Oryctolagus cuniculus: one gene and its partners. The protein of the gene in region 1 interacts with the protein of each later gene in a pairwise test. Links are inferred from orthologs where the notes say so. Each region holds a gene or a part of one and is shown on either strand. Other genes may lie near its edges. The genes, in order: STX4, CYBRD1, VAMP4, BET1 and NAPB.

What was found.
Region 2: the proteins of STX4 (region 1) and CYBRD1 interact in binary tests that used the Homo sapiens proteins (3 or more experiments, as listed by UniProt). The two-hybrid records come from large-scale screens. The link is inferred for Oryctolagus cuniculus from reciprocal best matches to the Homo sapiens genes STX4 and CYBRD1.
Region 3: the proteins of STX4 (region 1) and VAMP4 interact in binary tests that used the Homo sapiens proteins (3 or more experiments, as listed by UniProt). The two-hybrid records come from large-scale screens. The link is inferred for Oryctolagus cuniculus from reciprocal best matches to the Homo sapiens genes STX4 and VAMP4.
Region 4: the proteins of STX4 (region 1) and BET1 interact in binary tests that used the Homo sapiens proteins (3 or more experiments, as listed by UniProt). The two-hybrid records come from large-scale screens. The link is inferred for Oryctolagus cuniculus from reciprocal best matches to the Homo sapiens genes STX4 and BET1.
Region 5: the proteins of STX4 (region 1) and NAPB interact in binary tests that used the Homo sapiens proteins (3 or more experiments, as listed by UniProt). The two-hybrid records come from large-scale screens. The link is inferred for Oryctolagus cuniculus from reciprocal best matches to the Homo sapiens genes STX4 and NAPB.

Annotation. Positions count from the first base shown.
Region 1 is NC_091450.1:6,128,858-6,132,194, forward strand, and holds the end of STX4 (syntaxin-4), read right to left. Parts: intron 2,867-3,337; coding exon 2,758-2,866; intron 2,682-2,757; coding exon 2,605-2,681; intron 2,483-2,604; coding exon 2,345-2,482; intron 1,134-2,344; coding exon 1,023-1,133; intron 953-1,022; coding exon 869-952; 3' UTR 854-868; intron 766-853; 3' UTR 509-765; downstream 1-508. UniProt on the Homo sapiens protein: Plasma membrane t-SNARE that mediates docking of transport vesicles. Necessary for the translocation of SLC2A4 from intracellular vesicles to the plasma membrane.
Region 2 is NC_091434.1:69,597,829-69,601,803, forward strand, and holds the start of CYBRD1 (plasma membrane ascorbate-dependent reductase CYBRD1), read right to left. Parts: upstream 2,806-3,975; coding exon 2,613-2,805; intron 1-2,612. UniProt on the Homo sapiens protein: Plasma membrane reductase that uses cytoplasmic ascorbate as an electron donor to reduce extracellular Fe(3+) into Fe(2+).
Region 3 is NC_091438.1:26,791,319-26,795,403, reverse strand, and holds the start of VAMP4 (vesicle-associated membrane protein 4), read right to left. Parts: upstream 2,814-4,085; 5' UTR 2,593-2,813; intron 1-2,592. UniProt on the Homo sapiens protein: Involved in the pathway that functions to remove an inhibitor (probably synaptotagmin-4) of calcium-triggered exocytosis during the maturation of secretory granules.
Region 4 is NC_091447.1:41,915,540-41,919,697, forward strand, and holds the start of BET1 (BET1 homolog), read left to right. Parts: upstream 1-1,347; 5' UTR 1,348-1,556; coding exon 1,557-1,575; intron 1,576-4,158. UniProt on the Homo sapiens protein: Required for vesicular transport from the ER to the Golgi complex. Functions as a SNARE involved in the docking process of ER-derived vesicles with the cis-Golgi membrane.
Region 5 is NC_091442.1:47,609,046-47,612,558, forward strand, and holds part of NAPB (beta-soluble NSF attachment protein), read right to left. Parts: intron 1,471-3,513; coding exon 1,354-1,470; intron 1-1,353. UniProt on the Homo sapiens protein: Required for vesicular transport between the endoplasmic reticulum and the Golgi apparatus.

The DNA of each region.
Region 1 (3,337 bases):
GGCCGTTGCAGCCAATTAGAGTGAACCAGCGGATGGAAAACTCTCTCTGCCTCTCCTCTCTCTGTGTAACTCTGCCTTTCAAATAAATAAATAAATCTTAAAAAAAAAAAAAAAAAACACAACAACAACAAGGAAACCAGGGCTCAGGTGCCTCTGCCTCTACCTGCGCCTCCAGGTGCGCTAACCCGGGCTCACCGGCTCTGTTAGCTGAACTCTTCCATAAACAGCAGTGATTTCTTCTGATCACGAGACCTGGGGCTGGGGCCTCTGCCTGCCAGCCCCTTCCCTTCCTTCTTGAAATACCTGGCTCCTCCTCATGGCTTCAGGGCTAGGTGCTCAGCGGTCCTTCCCCAGGGAAAAAGCAGGAGTACCTCGCTGTGGGCACGGCACCTAGGGCAGCCTGACCTGGGCCTGTCTGGGCCTGGCCTGGCCCCAGGGGTGGCCAGCAGGTGGGGAGAGGCTGGGCCAGCTCGCCAGCAACAAGGGTCTCCAATCCAAGCTCGCTCGCTCGTTTTTCTCTCTTTTTAATTTTTTACAAAACCATGTGTCCCAGTCAAACAGGACAAGGCAGACCCTCCCTCGCCCAGGCACTGTAGCTCGAAGGGGAGGGGGGGCCCCACGGACGAGCAGCTGCTGACCCAAGAAGAACCGCCTGCCACCGCTGTACAGGGGCCCGAGGGCGCCGGGTGGAGTGGGGGTCCTCACTGGGGGCTCTGTGCTGCAGGGAGACAAGGCCAGGACCTGGGTCCCTGGAGCTTCCGGTGCCTGCAAGGGAAGGAGGGGGAGGAGGGTCTGAGGGGAGGAGGGAAGGCTGGGGAGGGGGCGGGGCGGGGGAGGGGCCAGGAGGTCTCACCGAAAATGTACAACTCTAGCCCACCGCTATGGTCACGCCGATGATGACGGCCAGGATGAGGACCGTGACGGACACACAGATGGCAATGAGGACTTTCTTCTGTGGGAGACAAGAGGGTCAGGGACGACCGAGTGGGGCGCCTGCGCCCGGGGCGGGGCGGGGGGCTCACCTTCCTCGCTTTCTTCTGGTTCTCCAGGGCGATCTTGACGTGCTCCTGCCCGCGTTCCACGTAGTCCGCGGAGCTCAGGATGTTCTTCTCGATCCGGTTGATCATCTCCCCCTGCTCGCGGGATGAGGTGGCTCAGAGAGGGAGCGATGCCTGGGCACAGCGGGGCTGGGGACGGGGAGGCCAGCTGCGCCTTTGCCCATGCCACCCGGCAATGACTGACGCATCTCCCAGGCCCACGGAAACAAAACAAAAACTGCCCCCAACAGAGGCAGCTCCAGAAGTGACCCAGGCTCAGAATCTTGGGATGGTTCCGGGATCCCTTCTATCACGTGGTCCTATCTCCCCGCTTCCCTTGCCCCCATAAGGTGACATCCAAACGCCTGCAGAAGGCAAATTAAGAGCTTGTTTTCGGGGATCCAGTGCTGTGGCGCAGCGGGTCAACGCCCTGGCCTGAAGCTCTGGCATGCCATATGGGCACCGGTTCCAAGTCCCGGCTGCTCCGCTTCCAATCCAGCTCTCTGCTGTGGCCTGGGAAAGCAGAAGAGGCTCAAGTGCTTGGGCCCCTGCACCTGCGTGGGAGACCTGGAAGAAGCTCCTGGCTCCTGGCTCCGGATCAGCTCTGCTCCAGCCGTTGCGGCCATTTGGGGAGTGAACCAGCATATGGAAGACCTCTCTCTCTCTCTCTCCCTCTCTCTGTCTTTGCCTCGCAAATAAATAAATAAATCTCTCTTTTTTTTTTTTAAAGAAAATAAGAGTTTATTTTGGTGCCCCAAATTTGGAATCCAAGCACAGATTTCTCCTAACGTGCATTGGCCAGTCACTTTTTGAAGATCCCTCCTATACATGATTTCAAGATTTTTTTTTTGCACCCCAGAGAAACTTTCTCAATTCCATTTTCCATGCCTTCTTGCAAGCACCCCCCGTATGTGCAGGGGCGGCTTGTGGCCGTGTGCTCCACGGGTTCATACCTTTTTCTTCAGATGGTGAACTCTGGCCCCTGAATTCAGCCATTCTTCCAGGCCTGTCTCCCGGCTGCTGTGCAGCCGCCCCTCCCCCAGCTCCTCCTGGCACCACCAGCCTGCAGGTCCTGCTGCTCCTCCTGAATGAGATGCCCTCCCCTGCCTCCCAGCGGCAGAAGTGGCACTGGCTACAGCACCACAGACGCCGGCTCCCCTAGGAGCTGCAGTAGCGCAGCAAAGCCAGGGCTGGGTACAAAGCCTTGGGGACAGCGGCTGAGAGGCGGAGGGGGGCTGGCGGTCACGGCCGGCCAGGGCTTCCGCCTGAGCAGCGTCTCCCATCCCGGGGAAGCTGCGTGGGCTCACCTGCATTTCCACCTCGGTAGCCAGGAAAGTGAAGATGTCATGGAGCTCACGGATGCTGCGTTCGAGCTGCTGGATCTCACTGTGCCGGGCGGAGATCTCATTGAGGGCCTGCCGGGTCACCTGGGTGTCCTTTAGGATCTGAGGGAGAGTGGGTATGAGCGGACAGGTCACGGCAGCGCGGGGTGGGACACCAGCGGCAGGCCAGAGGGGGTTTCTCTGGGGCAGCCCCTTCATCAGGGACGAGGGTGATGGCCACTCACATTGGACACAAACACTTCGCTCTGCCCGCTGTCCAGCATCTGCTCCAGTTCCTCGTCGGACACCGCCCCAGCATTGGCTGTGAAGGGAGAGGCCAGGCTCAGAGCTGGGGCAGGGGGTGACCTGACCCTGTGGACTGGGCGTCTGCAACTCACTGATCTTGAGTTGCCTCCGAATCCGCTCCACGTTCTTCTCCCGGTATTCGGACTGCATCGAGTTGCACTTGTTGATGAGTTCCACGAATTGCTGCGACAGCACCCCATGCTGAGGGTGGAGAGAGCACAGGCTGGGCACCCCGGGAAGGACCCCCGCCCCACCTGGGCCTGGGCATCCCACTGCGCACACGACAGGAGCTTCTCCAAGCTGCCTGCGGCATCGGCCACCTTGGGATGACCTTGAAGGCGTCCCCATTTGTCCGAGGAAAAGGCAAGACCACTACGAGAGCCCAGGTGGCCTTAGGTGATCTGTCCCTGTCCCTGTCCCCTTTCGGACTTCCCCCTCTTCTGCTGAGCCCTCCCTCCTGTACAACACTCACCGCTCCCACCCTTAAGGTGCTACCTTGCCTCCCGCAACCCTCTCCATCCCTCTCCCGCGCCTGGCTCTTTTCTCCTTAACGCTTCCTCCGTCCTCACGCCCTTTGCTTATTCCCAGGTTCACTGCTCTATCTGAACAGCTCAGGGCTGGCGCACAGTCATCACTGAAGGCAGACCAGCCAAATGCCAGCCAGCGCGGCTG
Region 2 (3,975 bases), on another chromosome or scaffold:
TTTAACATTGTATTTTAGTGTTAGATTTCCTATAGTGTGCTACACTGTATTTTACAATACATCCATTTTCCAAAATGCACTTGGAGCATGGCTGTACGTGGAGAGGGAGGGAGGGAGGGAAGGTCGGGAGGAAGGCAGAGGGAGAGAGAGAGAGAGAGAGAGAGAGAGAAGACGAGAGGGAGAGAGACAGGGAGACAGAGAGAGACAGAGACAGAGTCAGAGAGACAGGGAGATTATATAACTTCTATGGTAGCCTTGCTTTCTTCAGCACGTTTCAGAAGAACCATACTTATCCTCACAGTTTCAAATACAGTTCACTGTTGATACATTGCATTTATAAACCATTCTTTGCTTAGAGTGATAACTAAACTTTAGCTTTCCTTTCCTCGCCTCCAAATATTTGTGCACTACTGGAGAGAAGAACTCCACATCACGTGAGTTCAGTATGGGACCTGTGAAATCTCACCGCCTAACATGATCCTCCCTGAAGTAGCTGCACACAGTAGAAATGCTGTTCTGTCGTGGCTGATCTGTAACGTGTGTCTCCCTCACAGCCCATCACCTCCACCTAGCACCTACTCAGCAACGGTTCCACTTACAATTTTTCATCCTTACAATGGAGTGCATTCAATGGAAACCATACTTGGAATTTTGAATTTATGGTGCGTTTATTAGGACGGGACCCCACAGTAAATTGGGAAACATCTGTATTTACTGCTCCTTTTCAGATTCCCATGTAGTTTGGCTCTTGGGACAATGTCATCTTTTCAGTATGTAGGAAAGCACCACTGAAGCCTTCCTACGGCTTGAGTGAGGCGTGTGTGTGGCCCAGATACGGGAGGCCTACGCCTATGTCTACACATACCAACATCTCATGTCACTCTCAACTAAATGTATGATGACGTGAGTGACCAGAGTGCTCCACAAATCCTCAACCTGAACAGTAAACAGGGGGGCCGCTGGAACATTAGCACAAAAGGTAAAGAAAACAGGCTTGCTTAAGAGGAGCAGATAAAAATCCCCAAATATCCATTTACACAATTTGCCCCAAAGGCTAAGCACATTAAGACAAGCCCAAAATTGAGAAAGGAGAAGACCTTCAAGGAGAACTGTGCAATAGCCTCTCACGTGAAAGAAGAGGCTTCAAAGCACATTTTAGGTGAAGCTTTTTGCTTCCCTAACAAGATTTTACAGGAAACAAGCCTATTGCCAAAAAAAGCAGAGAAATGAACCTTGAAAGTTAAGGCCACTGAGAACCGGCTACTTCCACAGATAGGTTACTGATAGGTTACTCTGCCCCGGCGCCCCACAGACACCTGCAGAGAATGCACTTAGTAGTGACCCAGAAAGCACTCAGGGAGCACCACGTGTTTTGTGACTTAAGTCCTCTTTGCTGAGTCAGGCAACCGTGGTATCACCTGTGCTTCCCTTACTCCACGAGAGTACACTTCAAAACCTCTGAAAAGTGCGTGGGTATTAGGAGCTGCTCGGAGAAGTTAAAGGAGAGAGACGGCTCCTTCTTCTGTGAGACAACAGGCGTGGCCAGCTCTGGACCAACCCCAGGGCTGCGCACGGCCCAAAAGTGCTTCTGATGCCAGTGACTATGGAACTTGAGCGTGTTTTTCTCATTCTTGTGCTGGGGCAAAACAGTCGGGAATTGTGCAGTGGGATCACTTGGAGGCCTGATGCCAAGCTCGCACCAGGACAGCCTGGGCTGGCCTGAGGCCCGGCAGCGTCCCCCAGCGCCTCCCGGAGTGGGAGCACACAGGCCACACTCGCCTACGGCTGGGGCCAAGTGTGCAACGGGAAAAACAAAAACCACCGCTTTCCTTTAGGAAGGAGGACAGCGCTTCTGTTGCTGTTCGTGGAGCGTTAAATACTGGTGCGGACAAGGCAGGGTGGGCGGCGCTTCCAAACGCTTGACGATTTTCCACGCACGACCCCGTTTCCTCTATACTCTCTCAAGATCACAGCCTGGACTTCGCTCTCTGGAAAGTGGCCGCACACAAATGCTGCCTGCGCCACCAGCTAGAGGCCAAACAGGAAAAGAAAACCCTCGGGACCCCGGGCACGACACAACCGCGATCCACACCGACGCCCCTGGCCAGCGCCAACCGCATTCCCGGGAAGGCAGGCCAGCCCGGGACGGCCGCGCAGCCGCGGGCCTGCTCCGGGCGGCTCCCACCCCGCATTCGGGACAAGCGCCCAACAGAAAGCCCCACGGAAGAGCTTTCGCCAGGCGGCCGCCACATCAACAAGCTCGGTTCCAGACTGTCCCATGGCCGGGCAGGGCAGCGGCCCCCGGCTCGACGGAGCGCGCCGTTCGGCTGACCAGACCCTTCCCCGCGGCTGCGGAGGTCGCCCTCGAAGCAAATTCTAGCTCCTCCATTTTCGCCCGCTGCCGCAGCCTCGAAATTTGCAGCCCGCAAGCAAGTTCAGTGCCAGGCCGCGCCTTACAGGTGCCCTCGGGGCGCTCCCCGCCGCTCCCTTCGTGCGGTCGCGGACGTCTCCACGCTTTCCTACCGCTGGCCGCGCACACCCAGACCTAAGAGCACCCCACACACCCCCGGCCCCGCCGTCCCCCCCCCACCCCGCCAGGAGGTGCTCAGTACCGATGCCCTGGATGAAGATGAAGCCAGTGACCAAGAGCACCGGGTGCCAGTTAAACTCGAGCGCGCCTCCGTCCCAGCCGAGCCCCTCGCGGTAGTGTAGGACCCAGATGAGGGTGAAGATCACCGACAGGAAGCCGACAAGCAGCGCCGACACCAGCAGCACCAGGAAGCCCCTGTAGCCCTCCATGGCCATCACAGCCCCATGCTCCGCGCCGCCGCTGCCTTTTGGTCCCGGCGGCAGGCCCCGGGCGGCGACTCTCGCTTGCTGTCTCCGCCCCCGGGGAGGGGCTTTCTCGGCCGGGGCCCCTGCGCGGGCCTCCCGGGGGTGCGCGCCCCTAGCCCGTGTCCACCCGCGCGCCCCACCCCCGGGATGGCGCTGCACCGCCCCTCGCCCGCGTGCCGCCTGGCCCAGGGCTCGCGTCGCCCCAAATTGGTAGTGTCGGGAGGGCGCCGAGGACCTTACGCCCTCTTACTGGATCCCTGCCCAAAGCCCCGCGGGGGCAGGGGCTCAGGCACGCTCTTTTGGACGTCAGATACGGGGATCCCCCGGGTGGGGTCGTGCGTGTGTAGTGTTCTGGTGCCAGGGTTCCTGCGGGAGGAGGCTGCGGGGCGGTCTGGGCTTGGCCAGGCTCGCAGTTTGCTGGGGAGAGAGGGCAGACTGGCACCTCCTGGCCCCTGGCCTCCCATGGAGAGTGCCACAGAAATAGCCACAGAAGCGCCCACACACCCCGACCAGTCGGACTCCCAGCCTCGCCTTGATGAAGTGAACCTGGGTCTCTGCCTTCTTCCTAGCGTGCCCGTCACCCTGTGCTCTGGACCAGGAGCCTGTCCTCCTTAGCGGGGCTTCCAGAATGCATTCGGAGACCTTAGAATGTGCCCACGTATGTCTGGGTGATTTTCCATAGAGATTTTAGACCAAAGCAGTACAGGCGTCCAGCCGGGGTAGTGGGGCAGGATGGAGGGATAGGAGACTGCAGACTTCACCTGTGCCATTATCCTCCCTACCCCCCAAAGCAGGAGAGTAAGCAAATGGAAGGCAAAGATCCCTTCCCCCAGCCCAGCCCTCTACTCAGTCCTTTCTCAGGACCTGACCTGACGCTCTGGATGTCCTTGCCTGTACACCGCTCCCTACCCACTTCCCTTCCTCTATATTTGCTGACCTCTCTTCAGACAGGAAGCTAGGACGTTTGCCATGTTCCTATTTTACACCCTACCTTCGCACCCAAGACCTCTCTGCATCACCTACCAGAATGTAACATAATGATCTGCTTGTCTGGCCCTCTCCACTCTCCAGACTGCCCCCCTACAGGCGTTAACTGTCCACTTTATCACTTTATTCCACCTTGGCATATCACAGTTACTT
Region 3 (4,085 bases), on another chromosome or scaffold:
CCCAGCTGGTGTCCACCAGATAATCTATGAAAGAATTGTTTGCCCCCCCCCCCCCCAATTCTAGGGTCACAAAAGTGTTCTGTGTCATGAGACAGTAAAAAAAAAAAAAAAAAAAAAAAAAAAAAAAAAAAAAAAAAGCTGTGTTTGTTTTCCTTATATCAGAACTGAGGTAAGTAGCTCCAGTCTTTGCTACAGAACCATCTCAGCCCCTTACATGTTAACATGCATAGTAACTTTCTAGGAATATGCTTGAGTATGCAATATAATTAAAATTTTCTGGCAGAAAAAGCTGTCCTATGCAAATATGAATTTTCAGCATTTTGAACTTGATGGGTGAATATACAGCAATTCAGAATAGCTAAGATGTACTGAATGTTATTTACTATGGGCTGCACCTTGCACTCAGCCATACACATGCATTTTTCTCTTTTAATCTTTGATACTCTTTTGAAGTAGGCACTAAGAAACTGAGAGAAAAAATAAGGCTTAGTAAATACAAATAACAGTGTTTGTCATTTCAGTCATTGAAATAGCAGAGACATAAACCTAAATTGCTCGACAGCTGTGCATTATCAGCTTTCTTTGCTTATTTGAGAGGGAGGGAGGAAGGGAGACAGAGAGAGAGAGAACATGTTCCCAGCTACTTGCTCACAAAATGTCCACGATGGTCCCCTACCAGCTGATGCCAGGAGCCTGAAACTCAATCCACGTCTCCCACATGTGTGGCAGGAACCCAATCATTTCAGCCATCTCTGCTGCCTCCCAGAGTGTGCATTAGCAAGAAGTTGACACCAGGAGCTGGAGCCAGGAATGGAACTCAGGCACTCAAATGTGGGATGCAAGCATCTTAACCAGTGTCTTAACCACTATGCTAAATGCCTGCCCCCATAATTAGCTCCAATATTTACTCAATTAGGTTACACATTTCTGTCCTGGAAAACACATTTTCCCATGATAATCCAGGAGCCCTGTTCCCTCTTCATAAGAATTTAAGATCTTTAAATTAGGTATTGTTAGGCATTAGTTTGTTAGCTAATGTTGGGCACTGAAGAAAGAAAAAGGACCAGGGTATAGGTTCAAAGACCTAATAAAGGTAATAAATATTTTGAGCCAGCTTCCTATAAAAAAAATACTGAAAAGAAATGTTTCCAAGTTAGAAACTCAACCACTTGTCACATAAACCAGTGTTGCCACCTAAGTAACAGTTCCAGAGTTCTTCAATTCACAGTTTTTGTCACATACGTCCTGTCCATTTATTCCCCATATTTCAATTTCCAAATAATTCATCCATGCAGGAATGTTGCAGAATGCATGGAAAAACAGATGACAAAGCAAATAACTGAGAAACTTGAGCTTTTCTCATGTGTTTGTTTATATTTTAAACCCTACAAAGAGGCTGCCTCAGCAGCCCCAAAGCAAGACTTGTAAAATGCCTTTATGAGACCTAAAGATAAGATCTTAATGATGAGCAAACCCCCTTCGAGGTCCCATTCTCCAAGAATCAACCTCACAAAGTCAAGAAATCATGTCTGACAAACAGAAAAGCCAGAAGGAAGATTAATTAGCTATGCTTGAGGAGTCACAAGGCAACAGATATTTGTATCAAACTAGTAGAAATAAACCACGCTCAGCTATTGGATTCGTACATATTCTGCCTAAGATTTCTCCTACAAAAATACCTGTGAATTTAGGTGTTTGTATGTAAATGAGGCAGCCACCATTATGTATTGCCACACTGAGGACAGGCACCACTCCACAATTCACTTTAAAAATGTCACAACACTTTATACTTCTTACATCATCATCACAGGTAAAAAACCTCATGTACGCATTTTTGTAGTGTGTTCTCTATTCCGTGGCTTTATATGTAATAACCTTCTAATCTGCTGCTTAATAAATGCTGACTTTTTGCTTTCCAAAGAAAACCAAACACACACACACACCATTTATGTTTTTCAGTTCACAAAAGCTGGAATTTGAGCAGCCTTCCTTTTCCCAGCCTCCAATCCCTTTCTGACTTCTCTTTCCCATCTCTCAGCAGCTTTGGTTGCCCTCTCTCAGAAATAGAGACTTGGCTGGACACACTGGAGATGTTATTCATACAACCTGTCAAGTGTACTGCCCGACCCCCGCCTTCCGGGGTTAGAAACGTACACGGGCTGGTGTTTTCGCCCCAGCCCTTCCTTAAAGCACCATTTCCATAGCCTCCAACAGGCAGCTCCCCTTACTCCAGCGATCGCACCAGGCCACGGACCCCCACGTCTGCTAACTCGGGCCCATCCTGCCCCTGACACCCACTCACCCCAGCTACCTCCCGCTCTGAACAAATCTTCCTCATCCACGCACCCTTCTCTTCCCATCTCCCCAGCGCACCCCTCACCTCCAGTCTCCACAACCGCCCCCCATCCGCACACCCCGTCACCGACCCCGGCCCCAACCCCTTCCCTCTCAGGGCTCCTCGGCCCCCGGCCCCTAGACCCCTGCCCGCCTAGCCCGACCCGGACGTTGGGGGGCCGTGGGGCAGGGGCGTCGTCTTCCTTTCCTGCCTCCTCACACCAGCCCCTCCCGCCGGGAAGAGGCCGGCGCCAGTACCTGAGGCTCCCGGGGAGCTCCCGGCAGCTCTCCCGAGCGGGCGGCGCTGGGCGGGCGGGGGAAGGAGCGGGAAGCCGAGGGAAAAGGCTGGGAGGGGGAGACAGTGGGCGCGGACCCGGCGTCGGCCGCTGCGCCGCAGCTGCGCCCCCGCTCATCGAGCCGATCGGCGCTCCGCGGCCTGGCTGCAGGCGGAGGGGGCAGCCCAGGGCGCGGCGATCGCCGAGGGAGTCGATTCCGCCCGCTGCGTCTAACCCCGAAGAACCTCTGGCCTTCCAGCCGTCTGAGATCTGGATACCCAAGCTATGCTGTGTTTTGAGGAGGAACAGTGGTTCTCGAGGTGCTGGCGCGCATCAGGCGTGCGTGGTGGGCGCGAGGGGAGCGGTGTCGGAGCCGCTGAGAAGTAGCTTAGGGTGGGGCTCGGAGCTTCGTGACTGGGGTCGGTAAGACCTTTAGGTGGTGCTTGTGCGAGATCCGTCCCCAGGCTGAGGAAGTCGAATGGGAAGAGGAAGGTGGCTTAGAGGACCAAGGGACACGCAGGGAGAGGAGGAAGTAGACACGCTCTTACATGCTGCTGCTGTTTCTGTGTGGTTGACTTAATGCACTAATTGAAAAGGCGCCGCTAAGGCTTGCCCCTGGAGTTGCCGTATCCGGAAGGCTTGTGAAACTACTGGTGCCCGGGCACTACTCAGATTCTGATTTAGTTTGCTATGTTCACAGACTGCGAGCAGTGGGGTTGGGCTCCCTCAAGAGCTGGAGTTCGCTACTGATGAGGACAAAAGTGGTCCATCTGGAATGGAAGCCTCTTGTAGTTTCTGTCCCAGCCTCCACGGATAACCCAGAAATTAGTTCTTCTCTGAAGTGATTTTGTGTCTGTACTATTTGTGAGTAATCTATTCTTTTTCTTAGTTTTTTTTTTTTTTTTTTTTTAGATTTTTAAAAAATGCTTTGACTTGTAAGTAAGAATGTCAGAGACAGAGGAAGAGACACAGAGAAAGAGAGCTTCCTTGTACAGGTTCACTCCCCAAATGGCTCTAACAGCCAGGTCTGGTCTAGCCCGAAGTCAGGGGCTGGGTTCTCTTTCCTGGTCTCTCACGTGGGTGGCAGGGCCCAAGTACTTGGGCCATTTTCTGCTGCTTTCCTATGTAAGTTAGCTGGGAGTCAGCTAGGAAGCTCCAACCAGTGCTCTGATACAGGTGGTCAGCATCCTAAGTGGTGGCTCAAGCTACTGCGCCACTGCGTTGGCCTCTTAGTCTTTTAACCAAAAGGATCTGCCAGTCTTTTTGGTATGATTGCTTACGGGAGGGAAAATACAAACTTCACCTTTAATCACTTGAACAAAGTCCCTTTGATTTCCCTAACATGTGTGAAAACTTAGAAAATGTCGTTTTACAGTTACCATGAATCCAATATGCCAGTAAACCTGAAAGATGATAAATAACACTGAATTTAGAGTCAGGACTCCAGCCAACCTGAATTATATTATTTCCTCCCCT
Region 4 (4,158 bases), on another chromosome or scaffold:
AAAGATAGATAAACATTGGCATGTATTCCTTACCCTTGAATCTCAATTGGATCTCACATCCTATTGCCTTCATACCCCACTCCCACAGCCACCTGAAAGACCAGTTGCTGGAACACTTGAAAGACCAGTTCCGGGAATTCCCCTCCACCTGCTGCTCCCTAATCCCACCCCCGCCTCTAGCCCTCCTAAAATATAAACAGGCCAGGACCCCCAGGACGGGGGGTCAGGGCCTCCTGCCACGTGTTCCATCAATGTGCAGGAGGGCAGTTGGTCATTCACCTCTTCTAATTTATTTTCTCTGAATAAATTCAGTCTGGCTGTAAATTCATTCACTGCCTCCTCTCTATTCTGCACCTCTTTTCCTAACATTTATGGTGCCCCGTGTGAGGAGGCACCAATCTGCAACTCTTTTCCTAACAATTATAAAAACTTATTTTTGTGTTTTAAGAAAGCAACTTTAAGGCAGAAACTGAAGTCACAGCTACATCACTGTCACAATGGGAAACCGAGGAAACAGGACATGATGAAGATTCAGAGACCTCTAGCCGGGAGACCATTACCTTGTCACACATCAGCAACATCAGAACGCAAACACCAGCGGACTCCGAGCATTTCCTGCGTCCCAGATGTCTTCAAAAACCATTGCTGCAGAGTCTCCTCAGGGTACCTCATCCTGTGAGATAACACGAAATTCTCACTTGACCCAGGCAGCAGCACCAACACACTCCTCACCACACCCTACCCCAAGCACTGAAAAACCCCAGTCGGCACATTGCTATATGTAAGGCAGTATTCAGCACCACGTGTCTAAGGGATTCAGGCGTGCTCCCTAACCCCAACGATGCTTCTAGAAGGGAGCCGAGGGAGCAGCAGGGAGCCGGCTCGCTGGGGGCTCCGAGAGACCCCTGCTGCCTTAGCCCAGCACGAGTCTCCCCCCCTGAGTGTGACCAAGCACAAATCAGTTAGCCTCTGCTGCCCCGCCAGTGGGTCTCGGACTACTTGTTTGCAAGACGAGAAACTTGGACGAAGTTCTCTCAGACTTCCCTGAACTAACTCTGCAGGTAACAGTGAGTACCAGTATGAATCAGGAAAGGTAAGTCAACCACCTCTCGTGGGCCGGGAGAAGCTGAGCTATTGTGTTAAATGTAGGGACCTGTAGGCAGCTAATCCCACGGCCCTAGCATACGGGGTCACGGTACCGAACAGCGAGTTTCAGGGTCCGGAACAGGAAGCCAAAGCGGATGTCGCCCCTCTTCCGGAAGTCCCGCCCACTCCAGGAAGCGAGTCCCCATCGCTCCTCCAGCCATGCCCTTTACGACAACAGCGAACTACTTTTCCCAGAATGCCATTCAACTCTCCTCGCGGAGCACCAATGGGCGCCCGGGTTGACGCCATCAGTCGGCGCGGTGTACCAGGCTTCAGTGATGTCGTGGCGCTTGGGGTGAAGAAGTTGGTGCTTCGCGGCGCCCTGGGACTGAAGACGCGGTCCGGGTGACCTCTGGCCCTTTCCTAACTTCTCTACCCCCGCCTGCCTTTTTCCTCCCTCTTCTGGCGGGATGAGGCGTGCAGGCCTGGGTAAGAAGAGGTCCGAGGTGCGAAGTGGGGAGCCCCAGAGCCGGCCTTGGTCGGCGCGGGAGAAAATCGCCCTGGTGTCCTGTCACTCGGCATCTGGTCCAGAAACGGCGTGTGTGGAGGGGAGCCATGCAGGCGGTGCCTAGTGGAAGCACGTCATTTGTCCTAGATCTTACGGGGGTATCCTTAGGTTTGGTCTCCGGACCCGAGTCTTGGAGAGTAGCATAGGACTGGGGTGCGGTATATGCAGGTGCCAGCTCAGTCGTCGGACTGTGTGCTGTGTGGTGGCCTGGCCTCTCTGCTGTTTCTGCTTTCCTGCTGCCTCTGCCTCTTAGAAGGGAGATACGAAGAGTGGGGTTGCATGCTAAGCGCTTCCACAGTGATTATGTGAGTCGGCTAGCAGTGAGTGACAAAGGTACATGTACACGTCGTTACCTTACAGGCCTTGGGGTGTAAGGTCGGGGTCAAAGGCAGTGTGCCTGGAGCATTTCTTATCTGAACCTCTTCCACTGGTTAGCAGCTGTCGGGACTACCTCTTATGGTTCTGAAGCTCTGTACTAGGAGATGGTTAAACACGAGGAGGAGGAGGAGAAAGACGAGAAAGAACCCTGCTCTATCAGTGCAGCGTGATTGAGAATATATGTGAGCATTGGCGAAAGATGACTGTCTCTGCCAGCCGTGGTAATAACTTGGCAAAAACGAAAACAGGGCTTACGAAAAGTGTCAACTTTAAGGTCAATGAAAGTTGTCAGTGTGTCAGTGTTCTTTCTTAGTGCAGTTTTTGTGAATCTGGTTGGAGAAAGCCAGGTAAATTGAAGACAGAAAAGAATGTTGATCAAGTTTAGTTTTCACCAGCCTATGTGTTTTCTCAGTGTCTTTAGGTTGTATACCTGAATGAGCTCTAGCTATATAGTTGTTTTGTTACTTTCTTGGTGCTCCCCACAGCTGGGAAGTAGGAAAATGTGCAAAGGTAAATTATGGTACAAGGTGGCAGCTATACATCCAAACACAAGATAATGTTCTGCAGATAATGTCTCAGAAATTGCAGAGATGGTGACCTTGAAGTAGACCATGAATAATGAAGTTAGGAAAGATGAGTTTCAGGTGAGAGGATCACTAAAAAAGAAAAGAAAAAACAAAGAGCATAGAACTAGGATTATGTAGCTAAGGAATTATGACTCAACCAATTTGATTGAACCAAGAAACATGAGACCACATTGTGGAGATTGCATTATAGGCCAAGGAGTTTAGATTTCCTAAATTGCCCTTGAGGCCCACTTATTTTTTGCACTGCACTCTCCCTGGTTAAGTTGCAGGAAGGGGACTTGAGAAGTAATTGTTCTCAGTCCTGATAGCACATCGATTAAGGAACTGTTGCTATAATTTACATTGTTATGAAGTGACGGTTTTTTTTAAAAAAACTTGAAGTGCCAGTGTGAAATGACCTGCAATTTTAGATTTGGAATAATAATGAATTTGATAGATATTCATGTGAAGAATATTTGTGTTGGTGGATGATGTTTTTTGCTTTTTTTTTTTTTTTTCAAATATTTATTTATTTGACAGGCAGGGTGACAGATCTTTTGTTTGCTAGTTTACTCCCCAGATGGCCTCAACAGCTAAAACTGGGCTAAACTAAAGCCAGGAGTCAGGAACTCCATCTGGGTCTCCTACATGGATGGCAGTTTGGCTCCTCCCCCACTGCCTTTCCAGCCACATTAGTAGGGAGCTGCTTTGGGAGCAGAGTAGCCAGGACTTGAACAGGCATCTGATAAGGGATGCCCAGCATGGCAAGCAGTGGCCTAATTTGCTACACCATGAGTCCATCCCTGGGGGAGGGTGATAGCTGAGAGAAGATAAAACTCTAATAGAAATATGCACTGAAAGATTTCCAGACAAGAAATAAAATGAGAATTTCATTTTAAATAGATGGAACAGGGACAGGTATTTGACCTAAGTAGTTAAGCCACTGGTTGGGGCAACTTTGTTGAAATGCTTGGTTTCTTGTCCCGGCTCTGCCGCCAGTTCCAGCTTCCTGCCAGCGCAAACCCTGGGAAGGTAGCAGGTGACTGCTTGAGTAGTTGGGTCCCTGGCATCCTTGGGGGAGCCCTGGATCTAGTCTCCAGTTCTTGACTTCCGCCTGGCTCAGCCCTGCTGTTCATTTGGGGGCACAGACTGGCCTAAGGGAGCTCTCTGTCTCTTTGCTTCTCAAAATTTTTTTAATGAATAAATGAAGCAATATAAAAGAAATCTAAAACTAAAATTAATGTATGTGAAAAGACCCAAACAAAGGACATATAGTAAGTAGCTATTCATTTAGAACTTGAAGAAGTTCTAGAATTTCTTGAAGTTACAAAGTGATTGAATCCAACCAGTCAGTAATTACTTATTGGGCAATGTTATATACTTTGGCTCTTAAACATATAAAATAAGTAGAAGATGTTTCCATTTCCTTAAGGATGTTGATCATTATTATAGATTGCACAGACTATTCATTAATAAAGTTGCATTTTTCAAGACAATGATTTTAGTTGTTGAGTGGGGGGAAAATGAGCCCAGTCTTTAAATTCATAACACATTAGCTTT
Region 5 (3,513 bases), on another chromosome or scaffold:
GCACTGGAACAAGTGCAGCAGAGCCAGCGTCCCACGTCCGGGGTGCTGCCTGTCCTGTCCCAACACATCTACAGAGGAAGGGGAGAACCCCAGCGAGTGCCAACGCTACTTCCCAAAGTGGGGAGCCAGCACACAGCCCTGACCCAAAACGCTGGTATGTATAATGCTGCACATGGCTGACGGCTCCAGGGCAACTGCTTTTGGTTTGAAAGAGGCAGCGATGTGAAAAGGCCTGACCGAAGAATCATGAAGATAAACAGATCAGCAAAGATGAAAAGCAATCTCCTCCCAAACTGTATTTTAAAGAGTGGACTCGCCGCTGCACTTTACAAATAGACAACGACCAGAACGGCAGCCTGTCCCCGCTTGCACAGAAGCCCGCCATCGCAGCGGACGCACCTTTCCTCCCAAAGTGTGTGGTGTGTTTTCTGCAATCAAGGTCACACAACCCTTGGTATCGCGCGGTGTATCATGACCACGCGAATGCTGACTGGGTCCCGGGAAGAGTCTCTTCCACCAGGCATTGTGACGCCTGTATTGTATGCTAACAGGTGGACACACTGTGAGTCCCTCTGGCTACTCCCACTGCTCACACGGTCTGTGTCCAGTTTGTCATTAGAGAAATAAACTGTGACTTATCTGTGTATAAAAAAAGCCCTCGAAGATATCTTATTTCTATATGACATAGTCATAAAAGTTGGGGTTTCTGTGTCAAACAGAAAGTACCACTAAAAGAAAAAAACAGACGCAGTGCTATCCATGCAGTGTGCCAGAGGGAAGAAATCAATGCTGTTAATTGCTAATGCACACTTCCAACTAAAAAAGAAAGAAACTTGCAAAATGCTAAATATCCAATTCCATTATTTCCTCAAAACCAATATGTGGAAAAAACATTTAAAAAAATGACTACAGTGTGAACAAAAGGTGTTTTGAACCACAGATATCACAATCTCACACTGACTGGCTCCTAAAATCCACCAGGCACATGGAAGGGGGCCCTTAGTTGCCTTTTGTGATCAGTAACATAGTTCATAAAGTCAAGATGGAAGAAGGCTTAGATAAATTTCCAAAATGCAACATCAAGTGGCTTAGAGGAAAAACGGTGCTGACAACTAAACCACCAGGATACGAGATGCACCAGGACACATTTCAACCGTTTTCTGTTCACAGAAGCCTCCGAAGTCTCCACCAGGAAAAATCGCTATCCTTACCCAAGAGTCACTATCATTTCAACACACAAAAATTCCTCTACTAGGACTGGAAGGGACCCCACGCGGGCCTGGAGGCGGGAGGCACGGTGGCCCAGTCAGCGCCCCCGACGGTCGGCTGTGTGCCCGTGCCCGGCGGCCTCACCTTGAGGGTCTGCCTTTTTGTAAGCGTTTCCGGCGTCCACAAAGCTGGTGGCAGAGTCATGCTTGCTCTGCAGCTGCATGTGCAGCTTGGCCGCCTGACAGAACGCGTTTCCTGCAGCTGAACAAGAGAAGACCACAATCAATCAATCAATCAATCAATCAATCAGAAGAAGCAACGACCACAATGATTCATACGTAATTAATGAATTCCTGCAGAGCGGCCCCCACCTGAGGTGCTGGACCTCACTAAAAAGCAGCATTCCCACCTGAGAACCTTGGTCAAGTGCACCCAGGTGCACACAACAGCAGCCTGACCTTCCCGTCCCAGCCCTGGGCACGCAGCCTCCCGAACAGCCAGGCTCTGGGCTGTTCAATTCTACTCGGCAAACACGTAAAGGACACACCCTCGGGCCTTCCAGCTGCAAAGTGACTAAGCAAAGGCAACACACCCAGAGCGAGGGTGCTGGCGGCTCCTTTTCTATCTTGCCACGTCCACTGTGCTTAGCTGTCATTGCTGAAGTTGCTAAGACAGGCTCTAAGGAGAGAGTTTCTTAAAGACTGAAAATGAGGCCTACAATTTTGAATCTTAAAATAAAAAAGCCTAAAAATTCAGTTTTTCCTCTAGTGTATAGCAAAACCTGATAGAAACTTATGCACAGGTATGGCCTGCTCTGTACCAGGCAGGGTTAGAAGTTGTGCTCTTCCTGGAGCACCCTGACAGGTGTGGCTATAAATAATACCCAGATCCCTGCTGGGACACAGCCTGTGACAAATGTACAGAGTCTGTTCAGAGCAAACTCTGCCTCAGGGGCACAGATTCTGTGGCCGAAGAGGGAGGGAAGGGACCCCTGAGAGAGGCATCATGGGAACATGGTGACAGGCCTGTCCTGCCTGCAGGAGGCCAGTGGGACAACAGCTGAAGCTGCACCCGGCCTTTCAGGGAGGGCCTCCCCACCTCCGGCAGCAAGTCCCCTGCGGTAGGGACGCCTGAAGTGCCTCCAGCTCAGGAAGGTCTGGAACAGGCAACCCCCAACGGGAAAGGACAGACTCTGCACCCAATCCCACCAAAGCTCCACCTGTGACCCCTGTCCCAAGCCCTCCCCAGAGGCAGCCACTGACTCCCCCGTAGGCTTCTCAACCTTCACGCAAGGGTGAGCACACTCTGTGGCTACCTGACCTGCACTCAGTTCCTGCTCCAATGAAGAGTGCCCAGGCAGCTGTGGAAACACGTGAGTGCAGCGTGACATGGGCACTGCTGCAATCTGGACGAGGGCATCAGGAGGGGCCCTCTGGGAGGAGGACCGTGCCCTTACGCAAGCGGCTGCTGCGCGGCCCTGCTCCTGCACTGCAGCCCTTCCAGACACGGCATCTGCTGGCGCCTGGATCTTGGACCGCCCAGACCCCAGACTGTGAGCAGCAAGTTTTCACCGTTTACTCAATACTCAGCCTAAGGTATTTTGTTATGGCAATTAACAAGAGACTAAGGTTGGCACTGGCTAGTCAGAGTGGACACTGGCTATGGGGCTGGAGCTGGAGACCATGGCTGGCCTGTAAAGAGGCAGGTGGTCCCAAGGAGTGGCAGAGACTCTGCCAGGGTAATGGGCAGGCAACAGGGGTACCTGGGGCAGCAGCCAACCACCAAGTGGCAGTTTAGGAACACACCAGCTGGCTGAACAGCTGATAGGCTGAGGCCAGCTCTGATGGGCTCTGCCTCTGCCTCTCTGTAGCTCTGCCTTTCAAATAAATAAATAAATCTTTCAAAAATAAAACACTATTATTTATTTGTTTTGCTTAATGGTGATAAAGGTATCAGAGAAAAAGGAAAGAGAAGATTGCTCTTTTTTTTTCTTAAAGATTAATTTATTTATTTGAGAGGCAGAATTATAGATAGAGAGAAGGAGACAAAGACAGAGGTGTCGCTCCCCCTCTTCGTGGAGGAACGACACAGGACCCTGCACTGTTCTTTTGTCTGTTCGGCCTTTCCCAGGTTTGCTGCTGGTTCTTCCCGGGTTGGCTACCGTCCCTTCCACCTCCGTGGAAGGGCGGTTCCCCCTGCCACCTTCCCCACTTCCGCGGGGGAGCGGCACACCGCCGGCCGGCTCTCTCGGGGGCTGCACAGGTGTTCCTTCAGATAGATGTTCCTGGTGCATGTTGTCTCTCT